Linked DNA regions of Oreochromis niloticus. The protein of the gene in region 1 purifies or fractionates together with the protein of each later gene. This does not show direct contact. Links are inferred from orthologs where the notes say so. Each region holds a gene or a part of one and is shown on either strand. Other genes may lie near its edges.

Evidence for each region. The genes of interacting proteins can lie anywhere in the genome.
Region 2: the proteins of krr1 (region 1) and gnl2 purify together in Homo sapiens (affinity purification with mass spectrometry; 3 studies listed by BioGRID and IntAct, with this or other methods). This does not show direct contact. The link is inferred for Oreochromis niloticus from reciprocal best matches to the Homo sapiens genes KRR1 and GNL2.

What each region holds. Positions count from the first base shown.
Region 1 is NC_031981.2:36,711,804-36,718,651, forward strand, and holds the start of krr1 (KRR1 small subunit processome component homolog), read left to right. Parts: upstream 1-3,845; 5' UTR 3,846-3,863; coding exon 3,864-4,001; intron 4,002-4,112; coding exon 4,113-4,221; intron 4,222-4,377; coding exon 4,378-4,553; intron 4,554-6,165; coding exon 6,166-6,300; intron 6,301-6,452; coding exon 6,453-6,578; intron 6,579-6,848. Other genes in the region: uncharacterized protein LOC102080708, read right to left, coding at 55-115, 198-316, 417-488, 611-646. UniProt on the Homo sapiens protein: Part of the small subunit (SSU) processome, first precursor of the small eukaryotic ribosomal subunit.
Region 2 is NC_031976.2:27,058,746-27,066,227, forward strand, and holds the start of gnl2 (nucleolar GTP-binding protein 2), read right to left. Parts: upstream 3,019-7,482; 5' UTR 2,818-3,018; coding exon 2,754-2,817; intron 1,542-2,753; coding exon 1,457-1,541; intron 1,331-1,456; coding exon 1,236-1,330; intron 1,048-1,235; coding exon 908-1,047; intron 1-907. UniProt on the Homo sapiens protein: GTPase that associates with pre-60S ribosomal subunits in the nucleolus and is required for their nuclear export and maturation.

The DNA of each region.
Region 1 (6,848 bases):
GAAAAAGAAGAAATTTCCAAATTACTACAAGTCTTGTGAGTTTTCTAGTCTTACCAGCCTTAGAAGAGGTTTGGCTTCCTCTTCTTCAAAATCCTCCAATTTAAACTCCCACAGCCTTCAAAAGAAAGCAAAGCAGAGGTTTTCTCTCAGCATTTACACGTCATCACAAACAGACTTTCAGTGTGACAGTAACTCACTGCTCTCTGAGTGTCTCCCTGCTCTTCTCCACCAAAAGATCTCTCAGATCTTCAGCAGTGAGGTTAGGTGGAATTAGATCTTCCTGCTGAAGTCTGAGAAACTCCGTCATAATTGCAATCTAAAAGTAAAAGGAGACATTTAATCACCACCACGCTCAGGTCCTCAGAAATTACCTGATATTTTCTGTCAGCTTTGGTTTGCATGAATCTGGGTCTAACCTGAGTCCTGTAGCCCGGAAGATGCCAGCAGATCTTTACAGCTGTTTCATAAATCGGTGTGTTGAACAACACCTGTCAAAGAAATAGCAATTTAGTCATTGTTACTTAAAATGATTCTCAGTTTGTCAACTTTTAAAACTACATCAAATTCTTCAAATTCTTGAAATGCATTAAAAACAAAAACGGTCACATACCCTGATAGGTTTATAGATTCCTTGACTTGATTCCATTTAGACGTTGTCAAATCACAGTCGGGAAGAAAACCTTTTAAATGCTCTCCAATGATGGCGTACGGTGGGATCTCGACCTGAAAATGCTCTCCACTCGGTGGTCTTGTCACACAGATGAGCTCCTTTGACAGTCTGATGTTTGTTTATGAATGCAGAATTTCTTGAACAGTCACCATGGAAACTTGATGCAGCTTCATGTTATTAAATTAAAAGAAAACACTGTGTATTTTGCACCACATTACAACTTCATTTATCATATAAGTAAATAAAGTGTGGGTTAGGTCACTCCTGTGAAAAGAGCCACACAAACCGACGAATCAGAAAAGACAAAGTCAACCTACAGCATGCCTTTATGTGCCTGCTTATCTCCATTTTGTTACAGTAGATGGGAACTTATGCAGTAAAGCAATGGCTTACAAAACAGTGGACTGTGGAGGGGACCAATGCAAACATTTGAAGCCTGACAGCAGCTGGTATATACACAGCTTTGGTCATTTGGATAAACTGGCCCTTTAAACAGCCCAGAGGAAGAGACCTCTGCGTTATCAGTACAGCCTAAAGCCCGAAGCACAATAATAATAATAATACTATTATTATTATTTTTTATAACAATAATACCCCAAATAATGAAGTCATTAATTACTAGGATGCCTACTGACATGTTTTCTTAGTTACTGATATTTAGAGAGGCCACATTCGTCATGCTTCACAGGAGTTCAGGAGTGAACCATGAAAGTGATGCTACGTTAGAGTCTCTCTCTGGACTGGTTGCTGCTCTGAGTTCAGCAGGAGGAGGTGAACCCACAGCTGGGAGCGGTTCCCTTAGTGGGTGGGAGGATCATACTTCAGGTTCAATATTATACTTTTGTTTATCCTGGTCTGAACCTGGTCAGAAGAACTGACTTCACTTTTGAAAATTCAGTACTTATAAAAGGTAACCCCAAACAGTCAACGGTTGTTTTCTGTCCACCAAAGCAAATTTGATTGAAGAAGTTTTTGTAACTTCACTTCTCCAAAAAGCAAATAAAGAGATTAAGCAAAGGTCTTGATGCATTCTCAATCATCCAGGAAAGTAAATCTCCAAAAGTTGAATCTGTTCATCTGGACGTAGCGTAGCTGAAGAAGTCACTTGGATGAGTGACGAAACGTTTCTCCCACAAAACGCTACGTCCAGATGAACAGATTCAACTTTTGGAGATTAAACAAAGATTTATTGAACGATCGTCAGAATTACCAGAGCTAACGTAGATCAGTTTATGCACTTGAATTAGGAGGGATAAGAAAAGCGACTGCATTGACTGCAATCTGCAATCTACTGACATCTAATGGTGAGATTTATACACGTGATAACTTTAATGATACTTGAAAATATGCCAGGAACTGCACTGCTTCAGTCTGAGCCTGTTCGGTCAGCCCAAACAGTCTGTGTAATATGTGAAAAATAATAAATATGACTTTTCCTTCCTTTTCCATAAAAAGGGATGTCTCACGTGCTCACTGCAGTTAAAGTAGTGTTACTAGAAATATTAATGCACAAAGGGCAGTAATACTTTTTAAAAGGCCTAATGACTAATCTCGGGTAACTTAGGTACACCTGCTCAACTGCTCATTAAGACAAATATCTAATCAGCCAGTCACATGACTGGAAATCAGCATGCATGACCTAGTCATGATGACCCTCCGAAGGTCAAACTTACTACCTTTAGGTGACTGCATGACATAAGACAGCAACGTTCAGGTATTTGTAATTTTTCTGCAACCTCTATCTCTGTGTTTGATCATCAGTCTGCAAAGCCAATGTGTTTTTGGTACTGTGAAAAATGTACAAGTGTACTCTGCATACTGCAACAGAGCACTGATCTTTCCTGCCACATTTATTGTGCTTAGAGTGCAATATAAGATTTTCCATTTATAATATGTTCCATACTTAACCTTTTTGGAGACTTTTATGTTGTTTGGCAGGATAATAGCATCACATTGAATTTTAGGTGTTAAAAACAAACAGTTACTGATTTTCATGTCAAAAAATAAATAAATATTCTGATGAACAGCCACTAAAGGAAGTTTTTGGAGTAACTCTCAGCAGTAATTTGGACATGAAATAGTTGGTAGACATGTTATTAACCCTATGAGAAAAATCTTTAGTTCTATTCAGGTACAGAGACATATTTAGGCTACAGGAAATAATTTTATTCAAATACAATTTATTGTCAAAATGTTATAGTGATGATCAGTGACTGCCTTTTCACAACTTACCCATTATAAAGTGACTGCAAATATTGTGGAACAATTCATAGTGTTTAATTGCTTGTGTGCTGGAATGTATTAAACACAAAAACCAGGAGCTGCAGAAACCCAGTAATGCTGAAGACGCATGCGAGGAATTTATCTGTGCGTTTATATTTGCATCTGTGTGTCAGAGTGTGTGTATGTTTTTACATTTAATTTAGGACACAGAGCATGGAGTGAACAGGGGCTATTAAGAGTGTGGCCTGTGTGTATCTATGCCAGTCAAACAGCCTGGAACTGCTCAATTTCAATCTACCTTTTTCCTGTCAGTACAGCTGCACCCCTAGCTCACACAGACACAGACAGAGGCTGTCTGCAATGTATTTCTGACATGGAACATTAACATAACATCTTAGCAAAAATTTTGTGACTTAAGAGAAACACAATAACTGAGCAGAAATACTATAATTTAGCAGAAATACTATGATTTAGCAGAAATACTGTGTTTAGCACAAATACCATAAAGTAGCAGAAATACCATGATTTGGCAGAATTACTATGTTTTAGAACAAATATTATGTCAGTCAAACAGCCTGGAGCTCCTCAATCTGCAGTGTATTTCTGGTTTTGTGGATTCCCCTTGAACAAATGGCCATATTTTCCTAACTGTAGGGATGCCTACAGCATTCACACAATAAGCTTCATACAGTTAAGCACAATCACTACATGACGGAAACACAAGCTCTATTAATAAAAATGGTATACATGTTTGCCTGAATAAAAACAAACAGGTGAGATGTTAGAAAGCTTTTATTTTTATTTTTATTTTAGTAGACACCAGGTTGCACCAGGAAGAGTATTGTACGTCACTTCCGTTTCTTCTCAGCAATGGCGTCCTCCACAGCCAGTGACGGCGTGAGTGAGGAGCAAACGGGGAAACAATCGAAAAAGATTAAAAACCAAGGTGAGTTTGATTCTTTCGCGTCAGATGAGGTTAAGTGACAGCAGCGACCCTTCCCCCGTGAAGAAGAGTATTGTTTCCCAGCTTTACACGGCAGCTGCGAGGCATGCGGGACTTACCGTTCTGCTAGCATGGCGGCTCTCGCATTGTAAACAGATTGGTTTGGTGAGTGTAGTTACCCTTACTCGCTGTGTTAAAGGGTCGCATCAAGAAGAATAACCCGAACATTTACTTTTCACATACTTAAACTGACAACTGTTTCCTGACGCCGGGCAGCTAGCTATAACCCTGCCTGGATTCAGACACGTTTCCAAAGTCTGCAGACTGAGTCGCCTCATCCAGGGGAACACATCGATGATGAGAATTTCAAACTTTTATTATTTTGGTCAGTGGACCGTTCTCCACCTTCCTTCAGTATATCTTTTCAATATTCTGTCTCAAACTCATACTCTATTCACTTTGCTTAAGTATACCTCGTGTTGGCAGTCTATGCCTCAGTTGTAATGAGCTGTAGTAACGTGACTTCACGTGCGTCCTACAGTGGATGAATCCGAACTCCTGACAGTTCCCGATGGATGGAAAGAGCCACCGTTCACCAAAGAGGATAACCCCCGCGGTTTGCTGGAGGAGAGTAGCTTTGCCACCCTCTTCCCCAAGTACAGGGAGGCCTACTTGAAAGAGTGCTGGCCTCTGGTGGAGAAGGCTTTAGGAGAGGTGGTGAGTCAGAATAAGCTGCTTACACTGAACGCAGATGATAATGCTTGCCTGTCAGCTGTATCTCAAATAGTAGCTCTATGAAGAAAGTTAACAATTTTTTTTTAACCACTTTCTTTAGTCTCATCAGGTTGTATGCTATCTTGTATTAATGTATACATATAGTTGATATAAAGTCGGTACTCCCCTTTTAACAGTTTTTGCAATGTAAAAAAGATTCCAGGAGAAATTATTTCAGGATTATAATAGTTTAATGTGACCTATCACCTGTAAAATTCAAATGGAAAAACACTGAAATCTATTACAAAAGTACCTCTTCTTTTACCCGGCCAAATCGCTACAATAACATATGCTGACCACACAACCTCTCAGGAGCAGGCTACCATGTTTTCTCTGAATCTGTTATTTACGCCATATTATAAGTGCAATACAAATTTTTGGTTCTACATTTTAATCATCTAATTGCAAAGAAAGCTTGTCGTTGTTGATATACCTTCGTTATATTGTCATCTCTCTAGTCGTCCCCATAGTTATTCAGTTAAATCATATCTGGGCTCTGGGCTTTTCCCAAACAATATCTTTCTATTGGAGGTGATTTTTTTTATTTTTTTATTTGGAGATATGTTTTGGATAAGTGTACTGAAATGGGAAATTCCTCCCCACCTGCCTTCTGCCAGGTGCATACAGGTTTTGTGCAAAAGCAGACTGTTATTTTGGGGCTGTTCATAGATTACTGCTTAGACTCTGGTTTGGACAGACTGGGGCAGTGATTCCCTTTTAATTTATCTGTTGTACTTCCTTACCCATTCTCAGCAGTGTAACACACTTTACCACATAGCCCAGGCATATGAAGAATACAGAGATAGTCATGACACATAGTACACAATCAATACTGGTGAAGTATATGGAGCTCCTTTTACTATTTCTGCAGTGATCTTGGAAGCCAACTGGATCAGTTTTTTAAAGCTTTTTTCCCCATTAGTGTTTTAGTAATGTCCCTGTTTTGCCATGGTTTCTTCCCTCTTCGATGGCTGTCTTCATTCTGTTCCACGCAATGTTTAATGCCTTGGAAATTGTGGAGATGTGTCACTGTTTAAAGGTGCCCACGACACCTTTTAAACAGTGAGATTTCTTTGATGCTTTGTAAGCTCTTTGTATCTTCAATTCAATTCAATTCAATTCAATTTTATTTATATAGCGCCAAATCACAACAAAAGTCGCCTCAAGGCGCTTTATATTGTACAGTAGATAGCACAATAATAAATACAGAGAAAAATCCAACAATCATATGACCCCCTATGAGCAAGCACTTTGGCGACAGTGGGAAGGAAAAACTCCCTTTTAACAGGAAGAAACCTGTTAAAAGCCACTTTCAGCAAAAGCCATGGTCCACAGTGTCAGAAAGTCCTACAGCTGAACTGTATTTTTTAATTCATTTTGAACATGGCCACATCCCCAGTTATAAAGATGTCTCACGTTATTTTGGTTTTACTTTTCTCCTATATAACATTTTTTTCCAGTTAAGTGTCAACTTGGCTCTTACATTGGCAGCTATACGAGGCTGAATTGCAGACCTGAGCTGTTCACATACTGAATCATTTGTTGTTGTTCTCAGCACATTAAACCTTCTTTGGACCTAATAGAAGGCAGCATGACAGTCTGCACCACTAAGAAGACCTTTGACCCTTATGCCATTGTGAGAGCCAGAGATCTTATTAAGCTGCTGGCAAGGAGTGTGCCATTTGAACAGGTAACACTACTGTGCCAGTTTGCAGCATGCACAACATGTAGATTTCATCCTTTATTGTTTTCGAGTATGTGTGTGATTGCTGTCACTAAGCACTCAGAGTGATGCAGACTTTTTGATACCATTTTACCTCAGTGATGTGTTGTTGCCGCCAGGCTGTAAGAATATTACAGGATGACACTGCCTGTGACATCATCAAAATTGGCACTATGGTGAGGAGTAGAGAACGGTTTGTGAAGCGAAGGCAGCGGCTCATTGGCCCCAAAGGCTCCACCCTAAAGGTATGTCTCACACCAGAGTCCAGCTTTCTGTCTAAGGTTAATCACGTTCATGTAGAAAATGCCTTCCACAGAGTGTTGTGATGGATGTTAGAAAAAGTAAGAGAATCCAATTTGTTTCTAAATCATGAATTGTGCATCTGTGTCACTGATTTTCACCAGTCTGCAATGTAAACAAGTCTCAGTGTTGTGCACTTTTGAATTAATGTCAGTAGGTGGCAGCATTTATCAGCCCATGTGTCTTTCCAACTCTCGTTAACAGATGATTTCTTT
Region 2 (7,482 bases), on another chromosome or scaffold:
CACAGGCTCTGTGCCGACTTTCATGTACACTCCATCCATACTGAACTAGAAAGCAGTGTCAGATAAAGTACACTCCCTGGCATCTGCAGTTGCCTGTAAAACTCTGAGTAAGCAAGCTTAATAAATGCTGCCATTATACTTTTATCAATGCAATGCACTTTATTTTGCCAGGGTATTAACACATACTTGGAAAAGTGACATATTACATCAATCCTTGCTGACCTTTATTAAAATTCTGAGGTAGCCGATAAAGACTCGTCTCCAGACGATAGCTGGAACCAGCCAACTCCCCATGAGCTGCTGTTAGAGATCCTGGAAGGCTTACTTGTGTTTTCTTATTGCAGTAGTTGGCCTTTGTTGTCTGGATCCCTACGCCCAGTAACGCCATGGCTAGACATCTCAGGCAGGCAAACTGTGTGTCCTCTTTTAAAACTCTTGTTTTTGTTTTACCCTTGTTGACACAATTTGTTGTTTAGCTATTATTTTGTTATCATGTTTAGATCCCAAGGTTTGCATTTTAATTATACAGCTAGGTCTATACCTGACAGTACCTGACAGCGATCACATCCAGTTATTATTATTTCTTTTTTCTGAGCATCTGAAAATAGAAGACTATGGATAAAAATACCTGTAATCCCTAAACAACGAATTCAATATTTTTATTAAACTCCTTGAATTAAAACGTCACCTCTGCACTTCAAACACATCTCAACTGCTTAATTTTAATTTCAGTGTGTTGGTGGTGATTGTTCATAACAATATATATAATAAAATTCTAACAAAGTCACATTCCTTCTTGAGAGCCTCCCTAAAATGAACTGGCACACTATAAGAACAGCAAATAAAAACAAGCAAACAATGAAAATATTTTCTTTTAAAGAAAAAGCTTTAAAGCCTTTATACTCACATGGGCTTTGACTCTATCGTGCAAAAGGGACATAGGCAATTTGCTTTGTCTCATCACCACACGATATGGATCCTTCTTTACTGCCTCCATCTCCTCCTGGAATTTCTGGAGGGATGACTGCTTGATCACACGGGTATTTGCTTAAATATAGAGTATAGAAATATGGTATAGTCATATTATGACAAGGTATTGTAGTGAACATTTTTTTACAAATTCAACTGACAATATTTCAAACAAGAGCAACATATGAGCAAATGGTATTACCTCCAATTTAATTACATTTACAGTATACACTATAACATACACAACAGTAAAGACATTTTCTCACCAAACCATTTGATGTTAGGTTCAACTCTGGCAACAGTTCCCGGAGCTACTGTGGACTGGTACTGCAAAGGTTTGACGACTTTTCCACGGCTATTACTGTGGACAAAAGATCTCTTTAATTTCCTTAACACATCACTTACATTTCATTGTAACAGTAAACTAAATCAATAAAAAAAGTCTGCAAATTAAAGGTCAACAAGAAAAATAAAAATATTTGCTTACCATCTTTGTTTTTGTCTGTACATATTCAGGCGCTTGATAGTGGCTCGGTCCCTCATGTTGTTTCCACCAGCACCTTTGGCTCGATCTATCGAATAAATTGATGTTTACTTTAATGGCTCAATAACAAAATCCACATGCTATTACAATGCACTTACTGGTTAGTCCATTTATTACTAGGGAAACACAATATTTATAATCAACTAAGGCCTCTGATTTTTTTTAAAGGACCTTGCAACAACATTCATGTTTTATAACCATATTTTATTATATGGTTTTAAATGTGCTGAACAAATGACTGGGTTTCAGTGTAAGGTGCCGGTGTTGTGCCAAAAACTGATTGTCTGCCAAAAACTGATTTCCGGTATTTGCCAAAAACTGATTGCTCATATTTAAACTGCTATAAGTAACTTGTTGGGCTATAATATGTGAAACATATATCAAATGCATCCCTTATGGATGACATAAAGTCATCTTGAGCCACAAACAACATTCGTGTAACAAGGTAGAAGCCGCAATCAGTTTTTGGCAGTGACTTTTATATAACCTTTATTTATGCAGTTAAAAAAAATCTCATTAACATTAAAAATGTCTTTTGTAAGAGTAAGCTGGCCAAGAGGACAGAAGAAATGGCAGCAAATATTACAATATTTCAGTAAAAATATTTTAAGTGGGGATAAAGGACCGGATTGGTTATAATGTAAGTACAATAACACAGAGTTGTAAAGATACTTGAAAAACAGATAATTTTTTAATTCTATATATAACCCCTTTGTAAACCCTGTTCACCGAAGTCTATTTACGAAGATACGTAAAGATATTACACATAAAAATACACAGAAACATTGGAAATCAGTTTTTGGCAGGCAATCACTTTTTGGCACAACACCGGTATAGTGCTGTTAACAGCTTATACAAACACGTAAGTGCATAATTCCTATCAAGATATACTGCAATACTAGTTATCACTACTAACCAGACACACAGTACACGTTCATTTTTAAAGGAGCATAATTCTCCACCCCAAGATTGTAGCTGTTTCCAGATTTTACCGTAAATACGTTTAACTTTCATAAAACAGGTGTTTGACACGGCAAAACTCAAAAGGCTATATCTTCCTACAGTGTACACAACAGTGTAAGTTAAGTTTTAGATTCATCACACCGCTGTGAAGTCTTATTTTTATACGCAAAGCTATTATTATCTAAAATAACGCAAAAATGACTTTCTCTGACAATGACTAGCAACAATTAGCATTAGCTGTAAACAAGCAGTTTGGCTAATGGGAGAGTTAGCTCACCGGGGTTGCTGCTGGATGTCGAGGGGTTTATTGAGCTTTTCCCCTTGTACCGTGTCTTCACCATGTTGCCCTCTTAGTCGGTAAAGCCTTCCACAGAAAAAAAAATACGAAGGTGTCTGAACGCTGATGTTTTACTGTCGTTATTCCCCTCAGCTCGAAAATGTACACCCTACACGTGTTCTTAGGGTGAACAGGAAGGACATCATCAATAGAGCGACGGAGGGGAGAACCAATCAGAAAGCTCCTGCGTGCGTACTTAGGCTGTCGGTAAAGCCTCGAGTATACTTAAAGGGAAATTATGGTTCTGCGGCGGTAACGCGTTGTCAGTCCGTGGACAGCTACTAACTGTCTACCTCCAGAGGGCGTCTGTTGTCAGATGAGGCTCTCAAAACTATCAAAACTATATACCATCTGTAGATCATGTGCTGATGTTGAGAACAGAGAACTACTAACCATTTTCAGTAGTACAGTAATGTAATACATTGAAGTTTCTCAAGTTATCTGCAGGCTGGGTGGATAGAAAGAAAAAAGCCCCACGCTTTTTTTTTTCTTTTTGCGCTCCTGTGCTACAATCAACTGATTTCAGTTCCCAGAGGAGGAAAAACGGCAGTGAGACCTGCAGAGAGACATTTAGATATTACTTTTATGTTTACTGCACAAAAGGACAAGAGCGCAATGGTAAAGCGCAAACTGCATCCAGGGCAGAAGCAGCCGCATTTAGCGGGTTTTAACGTAGTTTGTTGGGAGAGTGCAGGTGTTCGACCGCCCAGTGTTGATTGGTTGAGAAGCGCACGACACCGGAATAGAGCCATAATAGCGAGAACCACAAAAAAGAAAAAAAAGAAAGAAAAATCTTCAAAGATCAAAAATTAAATCATGAAAAACACAGATAGTGGTTGCAGGGACAGTGGCCCATAGACTGGTCACATACTTTGTACACTGCCTCCATCTGACAACAGAGCTCACTGCATACAGACGGAGAGCGGACAGCGAATGCACTCTCTCTGCTCAACCATAAATTCTGCCTTATATTACTAGAAAAACTTAAGCTCTTTGCAAGAATCTGCACAGACGGCATGCTACAAAAAGCTAGCAAGGATCCCAGAGTGATGACAAAGCTGAGTAATGGAGACCACAGTAGCCAGACCTTTAACTTCTAACAGGTAACGTAGGTTTTCTCTAGGGCAGGACATGCAGCCAGACCCTGAACTTCAACAGGTAACAAATGGATGAACAGTCAGGCTGCGGCCTCTGTTCATCCATCCACCTGTTCATGTTTGTAAAGTAGAATCACTTTAAGGTTTTTAAGATCTCTTTGTCCTGGTTTTCATCTTTGCTTTGTGCTGTCAGCATTGGGTTCATACCTTAATACTAAGAGAAAGACCGTATGTGTGTCCTCATTGGAATAGGGATTTTCATTGGTGTGTGGGACTTTAGCCTATAGGTTAATATTGTTCAGTGGTAATTATGAGACAATGAGTTCCAGGTCATTTTATGGAGAAACGCAAAAATGATGTAACAAGTAGTGTAGTATGTGTAATAATTACTTTTTTGAGTAATGGCCCCAACACCAATCACAACAAAAAGGGGAAATACCTCCAACGTGTGCAAACATTTGATCACACAACACATAATTAATTTGCACGAATGTGATGTCTTTTATATGCTGGTTAGCATTGGTGAAGACTCTCAAAATGGAACCAATGAGAACCAAATGAGAATCAATAAGATGATCGATAAGCGATCACATCAATAATGTCATCCGAATCGCTAAATTCTTTCAATTCGCATCCCTACTGAGGTGTTACGTAAACACTTCATTAGCAGTTTTTGTGGCTTGAAAGTGCTAAACCTATTACAATGAAAATATAATATGATGTTAAAATTATTCATGGATAGTAATGAAGTAATGAAGTTGATAGTGAAGTTTCAGACTGGCTGAAAACTATATGCCTGATGTCTACTCATGTTAATGCTATGTTGCTATGCCCCATTTAATCCAGAAGAGGGTGCAATGCAATTTGCATTAGGACATTGTCACATGCCCTATCTATGGCCACATGCCAAGTAGCCCTTTAAGTGACTACTGTCTGCAACGTAAAATGACTAATAAGGCTCAAACCATGTATCAGTAGTCAGGCGTTTAAGCGCACCAAGGTCCAACTTTACATAATTCTTTTTGTTTTTCATTTTTATTACATCCATATCTTATTAGTTCAATTAAATGTAAAATCAGGTATTTTCTGTATTTTTCTTTTTACTTTTTTCATGAAGATCAAAATGTTGATTCAAAGCTTTCTTTACACTTCAAGAAATTCAATTCTAGTAGGCTAAATTTTTCATACTTTGTGACCAGAGAAACTTACCTCAGTGGTGGCTATGGACCTACTTGTGAAGTGCAAATATAGTCAGATATCAAATACACACACATGCACACCCGCACACCACACAAATTTTAATAATGTTCCATATCAATTTCAAATGGATCTGGAAGCAATGTGCATGACAAAAAAAAATAAATACCAGAACGCTGGACTTTTTTTTTACCTGCAGCAAACAGAACTGATGCCAGCTTTCGCAAGAACTGTTTGATACTAGCATGTATGAAGGGCAAGTTTTACGTGGTTGTGATGATGGTGCCTTCACAGTGTTTATGGTACGTTACACAAGTGTGGCTCAGTTCCAAGGTAGGGTATTTCATAGAGACTTTGGTCTGGAGAGGCGCCATTCAGTATTCAGTTTATACAGCCGGGAGACTGAGGAATGTTCTCTGTTCATTTTCATACACATGAAATTGGAACTGACTGAATGCTATAAATGATTTTTGGAAATTGGAATTTTCTTTCTTCTTTAAGTTTAAAATCTAAGCAAAAAATTTAAGGACAAAATAATCTTCTCCTTCTTACAGAGTTTCTTCAAACAGGGAAGAACCGATATGGCCAAACTCTTCATTTAAAGTCTGGTTAATTTAAATTCCAGCTGTTGCAGTTACAGACAGATATTTTGTCTGTAACTGCAGATGTCTTAAACATTTTGGTCTTTTGACTAAATATAACTTTTTATTTTCCAAACCTTTCAAAGCGTAAAGTGGTATGAAAGGCACTGTGTTAAAATATAAGACCATTTCTGCGTGTATGATAACGGTCTCTTTGCCTTTCTCTGCACCTGGTGCTCCTTTATAAATGTGAACCAGTAAGCGCATCATAGTATGGGTGCTGTCACCCTAAAGAAAGATAACTTATCTAATAAAAAGAATCTTGCTAGTGCAAGTTTACTGCATTCAGTCATCTGTCATAAGAATGATTGTGGGATATATTCTGTCTTTCTGTCCTCAGAATGACTGTAGGTTATATTCAGTCTGTCCTCACATTCGTCTACAGTGGCTGAAATCTTTATTGCTACATTTTATTGCTGCTAAACTAAGTTGGCTGAACTTGCTAACTTCTTTGTGTTATTTGCATGAAAAGTTTTGGTTAGGCACAACCAGCGCAAAGAATTGATTGGAAAAACATTATTCAGAATTTGCATTCAACCAGAAAAGCACTGACCATCCATTTACCATATATGATAGATGGACCACAATTTATGAGCAGCAGGAAAATCCACAGGCTTGGAAGGCTTACAAGCAATTTTAAACCAATAAACCTCCTGACAGGGTACATGTGCAGCTTAAAACAGAAAAAAAAATTGCTTGCCAGAAAGTAGAACATCCAGTAATTTTATTAACATTATATCAGCCACTTATTACTTCTTTACCACCTATGTTTATTACATTAACAGTTAGTTCCTTTGTTCTTTTCTTATGCAGACACAAAATACATAAAAGTAGCTCTAAACAACTTACTTAAGGGATTCTGATTCAGAAAGACGTTTATATTACAGCACACACACATTTTTATAGACCCATAAAAAATAAGAAATGTTGAAATGATGGCGTGAGTATCTGGAGTGAGAACACTTGACACATGATGCGAAAATTTCTCTTATGTGACGCCACTTCTTGATCTTCTTGCTGTGTTTCGTGACAGAGACGGTTTGCCTATTACATTGTAAAGATATTGAGAGCCAACTGTTAAAGTCACAGCATTCGTCTTTAAGGCAGATATTTAATCAGCTCATCAATCTCTGCAGTTTCTAACCAAGAACAATGGAGTCATGGGGAGTGGGGAGATGGGCATCAGCAGATAGCATTAGAGCACCTGTGTTTAATAAGGTTAGGACCGAACTTTGCACAGAAGGATATCTCAGTCCCAGCATGTGTTTTACAGATTTGATATTTTCAGCTAAAAAGATTCATTTCACAAAAAAGTAAATGATGAGATGTCCACTGAAAAAAATGACACATCCTTTCAAAGTGATTAATTGTGCAAAAAGCATCAAAAGAAGAGGAGATGATTTTAGTCCAAAACAGAGAATAGACCTGAGTAACAGCTGCCTGAATCTTTTTTGATTTATCAAATGATTTTCCTTATAAACACACACATTACTCCTAAGAATATGTTGCTTTGATCATGTGCAGTTTAAATAAAAGCATACTAGTAAAAAAAGTTACATAAGAATTAGGAGCAGAGAATAAAATGCAAAAAGACCCCCCCCAGAAAGCAGTAAACTTTGTTTTAAAGTGATGTTTTTGTTGGAAAACTGTGAAAAACTAACAAGCTCACAACAGTAACAAATTTACAGGTACTTGTAAATCAGTGCCACCCAAAAACTACCAGGCTGTTTTATC